2 linked regions of the Diceros bicornis minor genome follow. The protein of the gene in region 2 purifies or fractionates together with the protein of the main gene of each other region. This does not show direct contact. Links are inferred from orthologs where the notes say so. Each region holds a gene or a part of one and is shown on either strand. Other genes may lie near its edges.

Region 1 (7,995 bases), on a different chromosome or scaffold from region 2:
TTCCCTAAACATATCCTGCACATCTTTAGAGCAGAGGAAACACTATCCAGCAACTGACCCTATGAAGTTCTCTAGAAGGATAAGTAAAGAGCAACACAAAGCTTTCCTAAATGAACATACTGTTACTTATATGTACACCTGAATGCTGTTCCTTTCAAAAAAGACACCACAGGAAGTTGCAGACTTATTCTAAAAATGCTGCCATGGCACAAAAGTTTAGACATTTTTCTGAATTGCTTTAGAGTCAGCAGTTCATTCTTCTGAATGCACAGCAGTGGAATAAGGATATTCCTAATTTCAATTTATGCCTTGCTTACTGCCTAGAAAGATTTTAAGCAGCTTATATTAAAAACATTTATGCTTATGTATAAAGGAAAAAACTGTATAGCTTCCCCAGGTGACTTCTCTGAAGGAAGCATTTCTTTAAATATTTATGCTTATAAAGAGAAAAACAAAAGACCATGTGACTTTGTAAGTGCAATTCATATTTAGGGAAGAGGGGAGTCAAACTCCACATCTTCAGTATCAATTCCTCACTTCTCACTCTCAGTGTTTCTAACAGCACAAATAACTGCCTATTTCTAATTCAATTCTGCTTCTTCAACACTAGGCTAGGATGGTACTAACAGAGTTGATCACTTTTCCAAAAGGTGATTTTCAGACAATGTAAGTCTGACCCCTCATATTAAACAGCTGCACAGCTGCCCTAACCCTATCCTTAAGACACAAAAACAGCTTTTCAATCCCACATTCTTATTCAGAGCCTCTGCAAAATGGCCACACTGGAAATCTTGTAGATATAAAAGTGCTTATATTAATTACTTTTTGGTTGTCTCGGTATTTCACTAAATGACACGCACACACGTTAAATGATCTGGTAATGATGAAAACCCTTCACAGATGCTAAGAATCACTTTTTAGTACACCCTATAAAACGTTATTAAAGCTACACAATCAGTCACCTGAAGGAGAATTCAGCCAACTCCTCACGCTCATTAAGATCGGGTCTTCACCCAAGAGATGACAAAAGCTGTAGCTTATCAAACTTAAGCTACTAAACCAGACACTAAGACTGCTTTGTTCCAATTACTATTTTAGTGATTCAAGTGTACTCTTCTACTGCTTCCAATTTCACTTCTACTAGCTGATAAGCAACAATGAACCTTCCTGGCACTACTGGCTCACTACATCCACCTCACCTGAAACTTTTATCACCAGAGGAGAAGAAACAAGTGATTATCCACCAAGGTGTTTCTCTCCACTCAGGCTTCAAACTCATCTTTGAACCCGCTCCAATTTTTTCCGACTTGCTTTCTGGAACAACTGAGAGCACCAAGGGTAACAAACTCAGTGCTCAAGGAGCCCTTGGACTGATGCAATCTTCATGAAAAGGCTTTTCTTTCTTCTGAATACCTATTTATTTTGGAACAAATGGAGCCCCTCTGGAATTTTCACTTTGGGAGTCCGTAACTACATTTCAAAACAAGGATGGTCCTGAACTATCAAACTTAGATTCGAAACAGGTCTGCATATTTTCTTGAAAGTTCACAGGAAAATGGGGTGGGAGAAGCAATAGCAGAAGGACATGAGACAGAAGATACGCAAAATAAGAGCACGTATTGCTCACTCTAGAATGTGGCTGGGGTCGTTTATATCCTTCTGACCTGTGGAAAAAAATTTAATGCCACTCATAAGACACTCACCTTGAGAATTTTTACAACCACTCTCTCATTGTTGGTGATGTTAATGGCCTCAAATACTTCACTATACTTTCCCCGACCAAGTTTTCGAACCAGTTGGTAATCATCTTGATTACTGTGAAAGGCAAGAACGACACATAAATGCCAGGACTTCGGATTAACTAGGCCTATGCCCACTATACACCCCTATCCAGCCGCTTCCATTAATCAAGCACTTGGAAGTGTCTACCTATCACACCACAACTCATTCCCTAAATGAAAGCCACAACACACACTTGGCTGCCTTCACTCTGCTCAGAGCTCCTAACCTAACTGGTCCCTCCTAACTTGGGGAGAGGAGGTAGGAAGGCACCACTCCGAGCCAATCTATAGGGATGAGCAAAGCATCCATCCTTGAGGCGCAGAGGGTGCCCCTCTGCCCGGGGCGCCACAGCACCTGTCTTATCCTTCACACCCTCAAGGCAGCCAGGGCCAGCTTCGAGAATCTGGACAGCTTTGAAAAATTTCCTCCCACCCAGCCTCATTTCAAAAGACTAAAAAGGCCGAGAATTGTAATAGCTCAAGAAGACAGCTGCTGACTTCCCACCCCAATAGAAACCCAAAAGTGTGAGGAGGAAGAGCTCTCTCACTTCCACCAGGCTCTGGTCCCCGGACCCTACACTTCTCGCCGCTAAGAAAGCATTCCTGGGGACACGGGGGAGGGACGGGGGCGCAAGGCGGGGAGAAACGGACGAGAAAGGGGGGAGAGGAAGATGAGCACATGTGTGGGGGGGGCTCTGCCTCCCAGCCCAGAGCCGAGGAAGCACGGGCCCAGCGGAGGAGCGGGCGGGGAGACAGGGCCGGGGGGCGAGTGCGGTTCGCGCTGGGGGGCGGCCGGCGAGGGTGGGGGGCGAGGGGCCGGGCGGGGGGCGGCGGCGGCGGCGTTACCCCCAGCTCGGGACGTGAGCCTCGTAGTCCCAGTACTCGCGGCTCCTCAGGCTGTTCACCTCGGCGTAGACCCGGGCCCTGCTGCCCGCGGCCGGGCCGGGCATGGCGGGCGGGACCGGGGGGCGCCGCGGGGCGCAGAGGGCGGCGGCGGCGGCGGCCCGGCCGGGGGCGCGGGGCGGCGGGCGGAGGAGGCGGCGGGCCGCGGGGCGCCGGAGGAGGAGGAGGAGCGCGGCGGCGGGCGGCCGCGCCAGGCCGGGCCCGCGGGGGCGGGCGGGCTGGGGGCGCGGGGGGCGCCGGCCGAGCCGGCCCGGCCCTGGAGCGGCCGGCGGGGCGGCGGGGCGGGCGGCGCTCGCGCTCCTCGGCGGCCTCCGCTCGGCTCGCGGCCCCGAAGCGGCGGCGGCGGCGGTGGCACCAGCAGCGGCAGCCGCCGGCCGGGAAAGGGGCAGCGGCGGCCGCGGCGGCGGCGAAGGAGGAGGAGGAGGAGGAGGAGGAGGAGAAGGAGGAGGAAATCCGGAAAAGGGGCCGCGCTCACTAGGAGCGGCCGCCGCCCGGCCCGGGGCCGCCCAGCTCACAGCGCCCCCTGCAGTGCGGGGGGACCTGCCGGGCGCGCCGGCCCCGCCCCCGGCCCCCCGCCGTCCGCAGCCCCCTCCAAATCTGCCCATCTTCGGTCTGGTCGCACGCGCTCGCCAAAGGGCCTCCCCAACCCACAGGCTGCTGCCCTGAAGCTTTACCCTCCGTGTACCCTTTCAGGACTTCCCTGGACACTCCTACCCCAAGCTCTCTACCCTCTAGTCATCCAGAATTTACCCACCCGACCTCCCATAGACCCTATTCTGACCCTCCTGTCACCCAAACTATTCCCATCAAGTGCCTCCCCAATGACTGGCTTTTATCATTCAGAGTCTCCCCACCTCAAGATTTGTCCATCCCTCCCAGAGACCCCTCCCCTTCCCCCAATGGACCCTGTCCTGTCACCCATAGACTCCTCAACCCCAAGACTTCCCCACTCTTTTCATCTAGAGCCTTCCTCACAAACCCTCCAACCCACCCCCAGCCAGCCAGGTTTCTCACTGTAAAGTTCCTATTTTTCCCTTTGTAATTAATAATCAATCTGTGGGGAGATACTTTGAGACTGTGTGAATACCCTGGTTTCGTTTGGGAGGATGGAGAGCAGGAGAATCATGAGAGTCCCGCCTGAAGGGACAGGCTGGGGGTTGGGCATGGACTGAAGGTGGAGCAGCCAACCAAACTTTAGCCTATTTTATGTTGCCTTCTAGGCCAGAACTCTCTTCTCTCTTTGATCTTCTGGGCCGTTCTTTTGTCTTGCTTTCCCATCCCACATCCTTTATCAGCGGAACTTCTTCACTCAGTCCAGGTTGCTCTGATTCCAATCCTTTTTCACTTTCTATTTTCTAGGTGAGACCTTGCTTCCTCCTTCTTAATGTAGTTAAGAGCACAGACTGTGGAGTCAGATCCATCCAGATTTGAATCCCAGCTCTGCTACTTACAAGCTGTGTGACCTTGGGCTAATAACTGAATGTCTCGGTGCTGCAGATTTTACAGCATGAAGATAGTAATGGCAGGGCTGGCTGAGTGGTGTAGTGGTTAAGTTCTCACACTTCGGTGGCCTGGGGTTCACAGGTTCGGATCCCAGGCGTGGACTTATGCATGCCGCTCATCAAGCCACGCTGTGGCGGCATCCCACATACAAAATAAAGGAAGATGAGCACAGATGTTAGCTCAGGGCTAATTTTCCTCAGCAAAAAGAGGAGGATTGGCAATGAATGTTAGCTCAGAGCCAGTTTTCCTCATACACACACACACAAGTAGTAATGGCACCTACTTCACAGGGCTATGGAGAGAATTAGACAAAGTAAACCATGTGAAATACTTAGAACAGTGTTTAGCAGATACTAAGTGTTCAACATTATTATTACCAGACCCAGGGCCTTTCTCCTATCGCTTTGCCCTCCCTTAGACCACCACATGCCCATCTTTCAGTTCCTTCCACCCTCCAAGGTTGACCAAGGCCACCTCCACTCCCTCCACCCCCACTTTCCCACGGCTGACTCCTTTTTCCTCTTCAAGTCTCACCTTTAAGCTCACTTTAAGTGTTAGAGTTGATACTTCTCTTATCTCAGCACCCTATCTCCATCCTTCAGAAACCTGCCTATTTTGTAATTATTTGTTTGTTTCCTAGGTTATTGTCTGCCTCTGGCACTGTAAAAACAGCCTGAGAGAGAGGACAGAGTTGGGTGTTTACCATTGGCTCACCCAGCATTTGCCTCAGTTGGAGGCTTTAAACAAATACAATGTTACCCCACAGATCACCTATTAATTTCAAAGGGGAGCCTGGAGGTCACCACTTTAACCATGAATCAAACTTAACATCATCAATAAGGGGCCAACAGACCCTCTGATGTGAGGCACCAAGAAGGGATGCAACATTTGCCAAAAATGCTTAACTTGAATCTAATCATGGAAAACACAGACAAATCCAAACTAGGGAACATTCTACAAAACAGCCTGAACTTTTCCAAAATGTCAATGTCACAAGCAAAAACAAAACAAAACTCTGGAGTAGTGTTCTTGATTAAAGGAGCCTGAGAGAGAGAACTAAATGAAGTATCTAATTCTGGATTTGATCCTGGATGAAAAAGTAGGAAGGAAAGGAGGGATGGAAGGAGGCAGGGAAGGAGAAAGAATAAAGCTAAAAGGACACTATTGGGACTACTGGGGAAATTTGAATATAGGATGTATGTTCCATAATAGTATTGTTTCAATGTTAAGTTTGGTGAGTGTGGGGATTATGTTGTGGTTATGAAGGAGAATCTCTTGATTTTAGGAGTTACATGCCAAGTGTTTAGGGATGAAGTATCATAATATCTGCATCTTACTCTCAAATGGTAAGGAAAGTCTCCAGGAAAACATGGGTTCCTGAGAGCACGAGCATCCATGAGGAGAGCGGAGTAATTAGGGAGAAATGTTGACAATTGGAGACTACATGAGCTTGCAACTTTTTGGTAGATTTGAACATTTTAAAAATAAAAACTGGAAGAAACTAAATAAAGCATTTGTGGAATAACTGGACTTTACAATTTAATTCCCAAACCCACAGACCTCCCTAAATCTCTTTTACTAGAGAAGACACAAACATTCTCAAGCTCTTAATGCAGCCTTAGGATTTCTTTCTGACAAGTCTCTGTAAACTAGTCTAGACCAGAAGGTCTTTTCTTTTTTTTTGCAGGGAAAGATTCGCCCTGAGCTAACATCTGTTGCCAATCTTCCTCTTTTTTTCCCTCCCCAAAGCCCCAGTGCATAGTTGTACATCCCAGTTCTAAGTCCTTCTAGTTCTTCTATGTGAGCCGCTGCCACAGCATGGCAACTGACAGATGGGTGGTGTGTTCTGCAACTGGGAAGCGAACCTGGGCCGCCGAAGCTGTAAGAGTGCTGAACTTCAACCACTAGGCCATCAGGGCTGGCTCTAGCCCAGAAGTTCTTAATCCTGGGCCTTGGATGAACTTCCTGGGTTTCAGGAAACCCTGACGTTGTGTGCAAAATTTGTGGTGTGTGTGTCTGTGTGTGTGTGTGTGTGTGTGTGTGTGAGCGCACGCACGCATTCTTTCCTCAGCATCCATCAGATGCTCAAAGGACGCCATGACCCAAAAATGGTTCCAAAGCACTGGTCTAACTACTAGGACCAACCCTGACTGGGGCCCCGTTCCTCACCTCCACCCTGGTGCACCTCTGACCCCACCCACCCTTCCTGCACCTTCCTCTCATCCCTCACCACCTAACCCACACCCATCTCACGTAACCTGCTCCCACACCTGCCAGGATGCCTCAGGATTCACCCACACATCACTCTGGTGCAACGTGCTCCTGGGTTTGGCTGACACTTCGCTAACTCTGCCCTAAAACCTGCAGTCAGTCTTCCCACAGCCAAATGGAGTATGTTTTTACAATTTGTTAGTAGGTAGGTTGGGTACCCCATGGAGTTGGCGGAGACCCACTGCCTCTCTTTCCTGCCAGCCTGTCAGGCAGCATGCTTGGTGTAATTAATTAGATGGGCAGTTGGAGATGGTACCAATGCAACACTCGCTGAAGGAGTGAGTCTCATTGGATATGGAGAGGGACAGGCTGGTGGCTCTGCAAGGGTGGGTGACAGGGCAGGGAGGTTCAGTAAACCAGAATCGACTTCCCCTAATTACTGTGTGTGTGGGTTTGGGGTGAGTGTAATTCAGGGTTACACAAGGGAGAAGGCATGAGGGCTTCTTGAGTCAAATAGCCCAACAATTTCATACCAAATTCTATCCAAACATATACACACACACAAAACCCAAAAAACAAAAATTTAAAACCTCCAGAGGAACACCTTCTATCTTCACAGGGCTTATTTCCAAAACCTTTGAGAGGTTTATAGGTTTTTATCCCATATTTCTGGTTCTAAGAACCTAGCCTAAGAAAATAGTGTAAGTCACCATCAAAGAATTATTAATAGTAATGACAATTTGTGTGTTCAATATCATCAAATCCTGCAAAAACCCTGAGGCTCAAAACCACTGAATTTACACTTTAAATGGGTAAATTGTATGCTATGTGAATTATATCTCAAGAAAACTGTTTAAAAAAAATCCTATGATTGAGCCAGCCCTGGTTGCCTAATGGTTCAAGTTCGACATGCTCCACTTCGGCAGCCTGGTTTCGGTTCCCAGGTGTGGAACCACACCACTTGTCTGTCAGTAGCCATGCTCTGGCTGCTCACATAGAAGAACTAGAAGGATCTACAACTAGAATATACACCTGTGTACTGGGGCTTTTGGGAGAAAAAGAAAAGATATAAAAAAAATCATGTGATATTGGAGCTGTTGAAAGGATCCCATTTCCGCAGTTTAGTTATCTAAGACTTCAGTGATGGATAATTGAGGCGGAATCTGGATTTGAACTCAGGTCTTTCTCACCACGAAATCCATTTCCTTAGTCTTTTTCTGATTCAATATACTCCCAAAAAGGGCCAAAGATATTCATTATGAAAATCATCTTTAATCATGAAAATGTAAAACAACATAAATATCCCCAATTGGGAGATCAGTTAAATAAATTGTGGTACATCCCTACAGTGAAATATTAGGCATCATTAAAAATTATGATGACCAGGAATTTTTAGTGATGAGAAAAAATTTATTATATAAGAGTTTTTTAATGAGTGTTTTTACAAAGTGACACAAGTAATTGTGGTGAGCAGGATAACGCTCCTTCTGCCCCTCAAAGATACCTACTTCCTAATCCCTGGATCCTGTGAATATGCTACCTTACATGGAAAAAGGGACTTTGCAGATGGGATTAGGAATTTGAGATGGGGAGATTA
Region 2 (8,004 bases):
GGGGTAGAATAGCATAAATCACAGGAAAGAAGAAAAAAATGCGAGCTGTACTTAAATGTGAGCTGTACTTCACTTAACAAAAATTTTGACAACAGATTCTGGATTTAAGCGTTACATTTAAAAAAATATATATTTTTAATCACTTACTCTGGTTCTGGATTCTTTGGAGAAAGTCCCCATACTTCAGGAGCTCCCAATTCTCCAATTCTCTCTCTCTCACTTAATCTCCTAGAAGATACAGGCATGTAAATTATAACTCCATGGCTAAATTCTGTTTCCTAAATATATAATCAAAATCAAAGGAGTGCAGTTAAATCCTATTTTCCCTTTACATTTTAAACTTAAATTAATAAAAACTTGGTTTAAATGTAAACTCAACACTTAGGATCTGATGTTCTGATAGCACTATCAAATGGTACAGATTACAGACAGCCTGAACAGCCGGGCTAGAAATGCAGCCTGGGAGGTTGTCAAGTGCATCCCTTCTGCTGCACGCATGACATAGCTCCTAATTGCTCATTTCATCTTTTCCAGTATGTGACAGAAACAGTTTTACATTTGCAAATAATTTCATTTGTTTACACATATTTATGAAAGAGAAGTCTTTATTTTTGATTTGGTCAAATCTTCCATTTTCAGAAACTCAGGAATTAATGAAGAAACTAAAAATGAAGCATTAGAAGTAGAAAATAAAGGGGGCTCTGAAAATGAAAGAAAAGTTTTATTTGACAAAAATTGTACTCAGTGAAACACAGGGTTCGTTTTCTCTTTAATTCCTTTTTGGAAAAGGAGTACATTCTCCGTCTACTCTTGGAGGACACTAAAATTTTTTTCTTGTTTTATGTTTGTGATTTCTTCTTTTAATTTTTGCTATTACTCATAAACAAACAAACCACAAAAAAACTAAGGCTCAATTCCTCCAAGTTTAGCCGCTTGTAACTTCATTAAAAAAAACAACTTACAAAATAAATATAATTGGTTTGATTGAACAAACTATTTTTTTACTTCTTTATTCAGAGGAAAAGCTATAATCATGCAGCGTCAGACTCAGGTTTTCCACTTGAAGAAACAGACAGTCTAAAAGAGGACATACTTATAACAGAACCTGGAATATACGCATATAGGGGAAGAATGCTTGACAGGCTGGAAAGAGCAAGCAATGAAGTTCTCACCCCTGCTGCCACCTGGCTTCATGTGTACCCTTAAGTTAAATTTTCTTCTAAACGGACAAATGCAAATTTCATCCAAGAATTTCCGACATCTTTTGGTGAAGACTGTCCACTAAGAAGCTGGTTGCTTTTTGACTGACACAGCCAGGGGTAACTTTCTGAAAAATTTAATTTGGAGAGGTAGGTCTCCAACCTAACTCAGGCCTGTTTGTACTGTTGCTGCTCCAATGCACAAAACTCTAACAGCTGACACTTAAAGACTCTATTATGCTCCAGGCACTAAATCATTACAACTCTAAAAGCCTTCTTGCTAATTTTATCCCCTTTTAAATGGGGAAGAAATGAAGCTCAGAGAGGTCACGAAACTATTAAGTAGCAAAGCACGGCTTCAAACTCAGGCAGTCTCATTCTGGAGCTTGTCCTCTTCATTACTGTGCTTTATTACTTCCCACTCCTGGAAGAAAAAGATTCTTGAAGACACCTTCCAGCTCTTGGAAACTTAACCTGTGCCTCAGTGCTTGTAATACTACTTTTAAATTTCTTGTTTTTTAACACATAGTGTCTGTAAAGCACATAGTACAGTGCCTGACATAATTTAACACTCAATAAGCATTAGATATTAAGGCTTACACAGCAATAATTATAACCCTTTTCCTTTCTCCTTCTTAAACTATCCATTTTTCACTCCAATACTCACTCTCATTAGAGGAGACCTGATCTCACTCTGACCTCATTTTTCATGGTCAAGATTGAGACCTATTAACAAGACCTTTCTCAACGTAGCCTAATTTACAGTTCCTACATTCATTCAATCATCTTGTCTCAGAGGTTTTCCTCCTCCCTAATCTAACTTAATCTCAACCTTTCTCAACTTGTTACAAAGCATTTCCACTTACATATCCTGTTATCATCTCAAACCTGTCTGATCATTCAACAAGCAATGGTTGCGCCTACAAAGTGCTGAGCACTGTGAGTTTTGTGAGCAATAAAATAGGGCTCCTCCTTTCCATGAGCTCAGTCTAGTGGGGAATAAAAACATGCTCATGAATGACAACGACACAACCAAGAAAATGCTATAAAATTCGGTAGGTCTGAGACTCTTGGCTATGCCCGCTACAAGCCAGGAGGCAGAATGGGGCAGCGGGAGACCAGGGCACTGCATGAAGGGGCTCGAGAACCTAAGGGAAGAAGAGGGCGAATAAGGTGTTGTCCTGGGTGGATTGAAGGAAGGGATGAAAATGGGCGCAAGGCAGGCAGAGAGAGCGAAATGCGAATAGTCAGAAGCGGGATGAACAATAAATCGGACTCCGATGACAGGTGGGCTCATGGAAGAGAAGGTGCGTCTCACTCACTTCTGCCGTAGACTCTCCTCCCTCTCCTTATCCAGGAGGCTAGGCCACGGCTTGTCATTCCCGTAGGGGCGTGAGTAGCCGCCATAATAGGCGGACGAGGAGGCAGAAGCGAAAGGGTTGCCCCGCGGCGCAGAGGGCCGCTCGCGGGAGCGGGAGCGCGAGCGGGATCTGTAGGACTGGTTTCTGGAGCCTTGGCTGAGGCCACTCAGCTGATGGCTGAGGCCGTTCCGGTCCCCGGACCGAGAGCAAGAGTGCGAGCGAGACCGGCGGCCCCGGGGGGAGCGGGCGGATTTGCTGGGTTTAGGGCTCTTCGACGGACTGCGACGCCTCCCCCCAGAGCCCGAGGCCTCCCGCTCCGGGCTGCGCGAGCCGGACACCGGAGCCATCGCTGCCGCTGGGTCCCCGCAGCAGCGGGAGAAGGGGGCGCTCTCGCGAGCCTGGGAAGATCTCGGTTGCCTTGGCTCCCAGAACCCGCCGCCGCGCCACTACCCGAACCTGAAGGAACCTTGAAAACACTTCCGGGTACGTCGGCAAATCCCTTCCCCAGACCTAGGTGGTCCTGCCTACAGGACAGGATGTGTGTATCGGTATAAAGTAGCCGGTGAGGCAACCGAGTCCGCGCACTCTTCCTCTTCCGAGTGAGGCTCCTCAAGTCTAAGCTGTACTAGAGACCTTGTGCTCTCTTCAGCCTCGAGTTGAAATGCCTGAAGGAAAGGACGACAGGCCACGGGACACATTTCGCTGAGCAGCCGTATGAACAACAAAGCCTATGTAATTTTATATACTTATATGTTTATGTGTACATGTATGTATGTAGGAGTATACACACACACACACACACACACACACACAAAAACACACACTTTTTCCTTTCCGATCCCAAGCAAAATAAGGAGGGTTTATCGATATTGGTGGTGAGCTATGATGTCTAAGCCACATATTGCCCAGTTAGCTTAGAGGGCACAAATTCTGTGTTAATGACTTGAGCCTGATACACTCCAATTAAGTTCGCAGCCCAGAGAAAAACTGCATATTTATCCCCCAACCACCTATCGCCACCAGTGTGCTCCAGCAAAAGGAATTTGTAACCTCCTCCTCGTCCAGCCCCTTAAACTAGTCCCATCATATGCTAGCTCAGCAATACATGGTTGATGGATATTATTTCTATATATTTTGTACTGTTTTTATTTTTTTTGTCCTTTTTATTGCAGTAACATTGGTTTATAACATTATATAATTTTCAAGTGTACATCATATTTCGATTTCTGTATGAAACCTACATCATGTTCACCACCCAAAGACTAATTACCATCCATCACCATACACATGTGTGCAGTCACCCCTTTCGCTCTCCTCCCTTCCCCCTTCACCTCTGATAACCACCAATCTAATCTCTGTCTGGTATGTGTTTGTTTGTTGTTGTTTTTATCTTCTGTTTATGAGTGAGATCATACGGTATTTGACTTTCTCTTTCTGACTTATTTCGCTTAGCATAATACCCTCAAGGTCCATCCATGTTGTCGCACGTGGCAGGATTTCACCTTTTTGATGGCTGAGCAATATTCCATTGTGTGTATATAACACGTCTTCTTTATCCATTCGTCCCTTGATGGGCACTTAGGTTGCTTCCAAGTCTTGGCTATTGTGAATAATGCTGCAGTGAACACAGGGGTGCATGTATCTTTATGCATTCATGTTTTCATGTTCTTTGGATAAATACCCAGCAGTGGAATAGCTGGATTGTATGGCAGTTCTATTCTTAATTTTTTGAGGAATCTCCATACTGTTTTCCATAGTGGCTGCACCAGTTTGCACTCCCACCAGCAGTGTATGAGAGTTCCCTTCTCTCCACATCCTCTCCAACACTTGTTATTTCTTGTGTTGTCAATTATAGCCATTCTGACGGATGTGAGGTGATATCTCATTGTAGTTTTGATTTGCATTTCTCTGATAGTTAATGATGTTGAACATCTTTTCACGTGCCTGTTGGCCATCTTTATATCTTTGTTGGAGAAATGTCTGTTCAGATCTTTTGCCCATTTTTTAATTGGCTTGTTGGTTTTTTGGTGTTGAGATGTATGAGTTCTTTATATATTTTGGATATTAACCCCTTATGAGATGTATGGTTTGCAAATATCTTCTCCCAATTGTTAGGATGTCTTTTCGATTTGTTGATGGTTTCCTTTGCTGTGCAGAAGCTTTATAGTTTGATGTAGTCTCATTTGTTTATTATTTCTATTGTTTACCTTGGCTGGTCAGACATGGTGCTTGAAAATGTGTTGCTAAGACCAATGTCAAAGAGCATACTGCCTATGTTTTCTTCTAGAAGTTTCATGGTTTCAGGTCTTACATTCAAGTCTTTAATCCATTTTGAGTTAATTTTTGTGTATGATATAAGATAATGGTCTACTTTCATTCTTTTGCATGTGGCTGTCCAGTTTTCCCAACACCATTTATTGAAGAGACTTTCTTTTCTCTACTGTATGTTCTTGGCACCCTTGTCAAAAATTAGCTGTCCATAGATTCTGGGCTCTCAATTCTGTTCCGTTGATCTGTGTGTCTGTTTTTGTACCAGTACCATGCTGTTTTAAATATTATAGCTTTGGGGCCGGCCTGGTGGCGTAGCAGTTAAGTGTGCGTGCTTTGCTGCAGCGGCCAGGGTTTTAGATCCCAGGCGCGCACCAACGCACTGCTTGTCAAGCCATGCTGTGGTGGCGCCCCATATAAAGTGGAGGAAGATGGGCACGGATGTTAGCCCAGGGCCAGTCTTCCTCAGCAAAAAGAGGAGGATTGGCAAATGTTAGCTCAGGGCTGATCTTCCTCACACACAAAAAATATTATAGCTTTTAGTATATTTTGAAGACAGGGATTGTGATGCCTCCATCTTTGTTCTTTTTTCTCAGGATTGCTTTAACTATTTGAGATCTTTTGTTGCACCGTATAAATTTTAGTATTCTCTGTTCTATTTCTGTGAAGAATGTCATTGGGATTCTGATTGGGATTGCATCGAATCTGTAGATTGCTTTAGGTAGTATGGACATTTTAACTATGTTTATTCTTCCAGTCCATGTACATGGGATATCTTTCTATTTCTTTATGTCATCATTGATTTCTTTCAATAATGTCTTTTTTTGTTTTTTTTTTTTGTGAGGAAGCTCGGCCCTGAGCTAACATCTGCCAATCCTCCTTTGCTGAGGAAGACTGGCCCTGGGCTAACATCCATGCCCATCTTCCTCTACTTTATATGGGACGCCACCACAGCATGGCTTGACAAGCAGTGCGTCAGTGCGCACCTGGGATCTGAACCGGCGAACCCTGGGCTGCCGCAGCGGAGCGCGTGCACTTAACCACTTGCACCACCAGGCCAGCCCCAATAATGTCTTAATAGTTTTCATTGTATAGGTCTTTCACCTTGTTGGTTAAATTTATTCCTAGAGGGCCGACCCATGGCTTGGCGGTTAAGTGTGCACGCTCCGCTACTGGCACCCCGGGTTCGGATCCCGGGCACGCACCAACGCACCACTTCTCCGGCCATGCTGAGGCCGCATCCCACATGCACTAACTAGAAGGATGTGCAACTATGACGTACAGCTATCTACTGGGGCTTTGGGGAAAAAAAGGATGAGGATTGGCAATAGATGTTAGCTCAGAGCCGGTCTTCCTCAGCAAAAAGGGGAGTATTGGTATGGATGTTGGCTCAGGGCTGATCTTCCTAACAACAACAACAAAAATTATTCCTAGATACTTTATTCTTTTTGTTGCATTTGTAAATGTGATTGTCTTCTTGAGGTCTCTTTCTCTTAGTTCATTATTAGTGTATAGAAATGCAACCAATTTATTTATTTATTTTAATTTTTTGTTTATTGCAGTAACTGGTTTATAACATTGTATAAATTTCAGGTGTACATCATTATACTTCTATTTCTGCATAGATTACATCATGTTCACCACCCAAATACCAATTACAACCCATCACCACACACACGTGCTGAATTATCCCTTTCGCCATCATCCCTACCCCTTCCCCTCTGGTAACCACCAATCCAATCTCTGTCTCTATGTGTTTGTTTGTTGTTGTTGTTACCTACTACTTAATGAAGGAGATCATACAGTATTTGAGCTTCTCCCTCTGACTTATTTCACTTTGCATAATACCCTCAATGTCCATCCATGTTGTCACAAATGGCTGGATTTCATCGTTTCTTATGGCTGAGTAGTAGTCCATTGTGTATATATACCACATCTTCTTTATCCATTCGTCCCTTGATGGGCACTTAGGTTGCTTCCAGGTCTTGGCTGTTGTGAATAACGCTGCAATGAACACAGGGGTGCATGTATCTTTATGCATTGGTGTTTTCAAGTTCTTTGGGTAAATACCCAGCAATGGAATAGCTGGATCATATGGTAGTTCTATCCTTAATTTTTTGAGGAATCTCCAAACTGTTTTCCATAGTGGCTGCACTAGTTTGCAATCCCACCAGCAGTGTATGAGAGTTCCCTTCTCTCCACATCCTCTCCAACACATGTTGTTTCCTGTCTTGTTAATTATAGCCATTCTGACGGGCGTGAGGTGATATCTCATTGTAGTTTTGAGTTGCATTTCCCTGATAATTAATGATGTTGAACATCTTTTCATGTGCCTGTTGGTCATCTGTATATCTCCTTTGGAGAAACGTCTGTTCAGGTCTTTTGCACATTTTTGATTTGGGTTGGTAGTTTTTTTGTTGTTGAGATGCATGAGTTGTTTGTATATTTTGGAGATTAAGCCCTTATCAGATGTATGGTTTGCAAATATCTTCTCCCAATTGTTAGGTTGTCTTTTCGTTTTGTTGATGGTTTCCTTTGCTGTGCAGAAGATTTTTAGTTTGATGTAGTCCCATTTGTTTATTTTTTCTATTGTTTCTCTTGCCCGGTCAGACATGCTTGAAAATATGTTGCTAAGACCGATGTTGAAGAGCGTACTGCGTATGTTTTCTTCTAGAAGTGTCATAGTTTCAGGTCTTACATTCAAGTCTTTAATCCATTTTGAATTAATTTTTGTGTATGGTGTAAGGTAAGGGTCTACTTTCATTTTTTTGCATGTGGCTGTCCAGTTTTCCCAACACCATTTGTTGAAGAGACTTTCTTTTCTCCATTGTATGTTCTTGGCTCCTTTGTTGAAGATTAGCTGTCCATAGATGTGTGGGTTTATTTCTGGGCTTTCAATTCTATTCCATTGATCTGTGTGTCTGTTTTTCTGCCAGTACCATGTTGTTTTGGTTACTATATCTTTGTAGTATATTTTGAAATCAGGGAGTGTGATACCTCCGCTTTGTTCTTTTTTCTCAGGATTCCTTTACCTATTCGGGGTCTTTTGTTGTTCCATATAAATTTTAGGATTCTTTGTTCTATTTCTGTGAAAAATGTTGTTGGAAGTTTGATAGGGATTGAATCTATAGATTGCTTTAGGAAGTATGGATATCTTAGCTATGTTAATTCTTCCA

The links. The genes of interacting proteins can lie anywhere in the genome.
Region 1: the proteins of NKAP (region 2) and CSNK2A2 purify together in Homo sapiens (affinity purification with mass spectrometry; 5 studies listed by BioGRID and IntAct, counting the BioPlex papers as one, with this or other methods). This does not show direct contact. The link is inferred for Diceros bicornis minor from reciprocal best matches to the Homo sapiens genes NKAP and CSNK2A2.

Annotation. Positions count from the first base shown.
Region 1 is NC_080771.1:11,518,467-11,526,461, forward strand, and holds the start of CSNK2A2 (casein kinase II subunit alpha'), read right to left. Parts: upstream 3,014-7,995; 5' UTR 2,732-3,013; coding exon 2,628-2,731; intron 1,816-2,627; coding exon 1,704-1,815; intron 1-1,703.
Region 2 is NC_080781.1:110,402,494-110,410,497, forward strand, and holds the start of NKAP (NF-kappa-B-activating protein), read right to left. Parts: upstream 3,019-8,004; 5' UTR 2,908-3,018; coding exon 2,522-2,907; intron 229-2,521; coding exon 148-228; intron 1-147. UniProt on the Homo sapiens protein: Acts as a transcriptional repressor. Plays a role as a transcriptional corepressor of the Notch-mediated signaling required for T-cell development. Also involved in the TNF and IL-1 induced NF-kappa-B activation.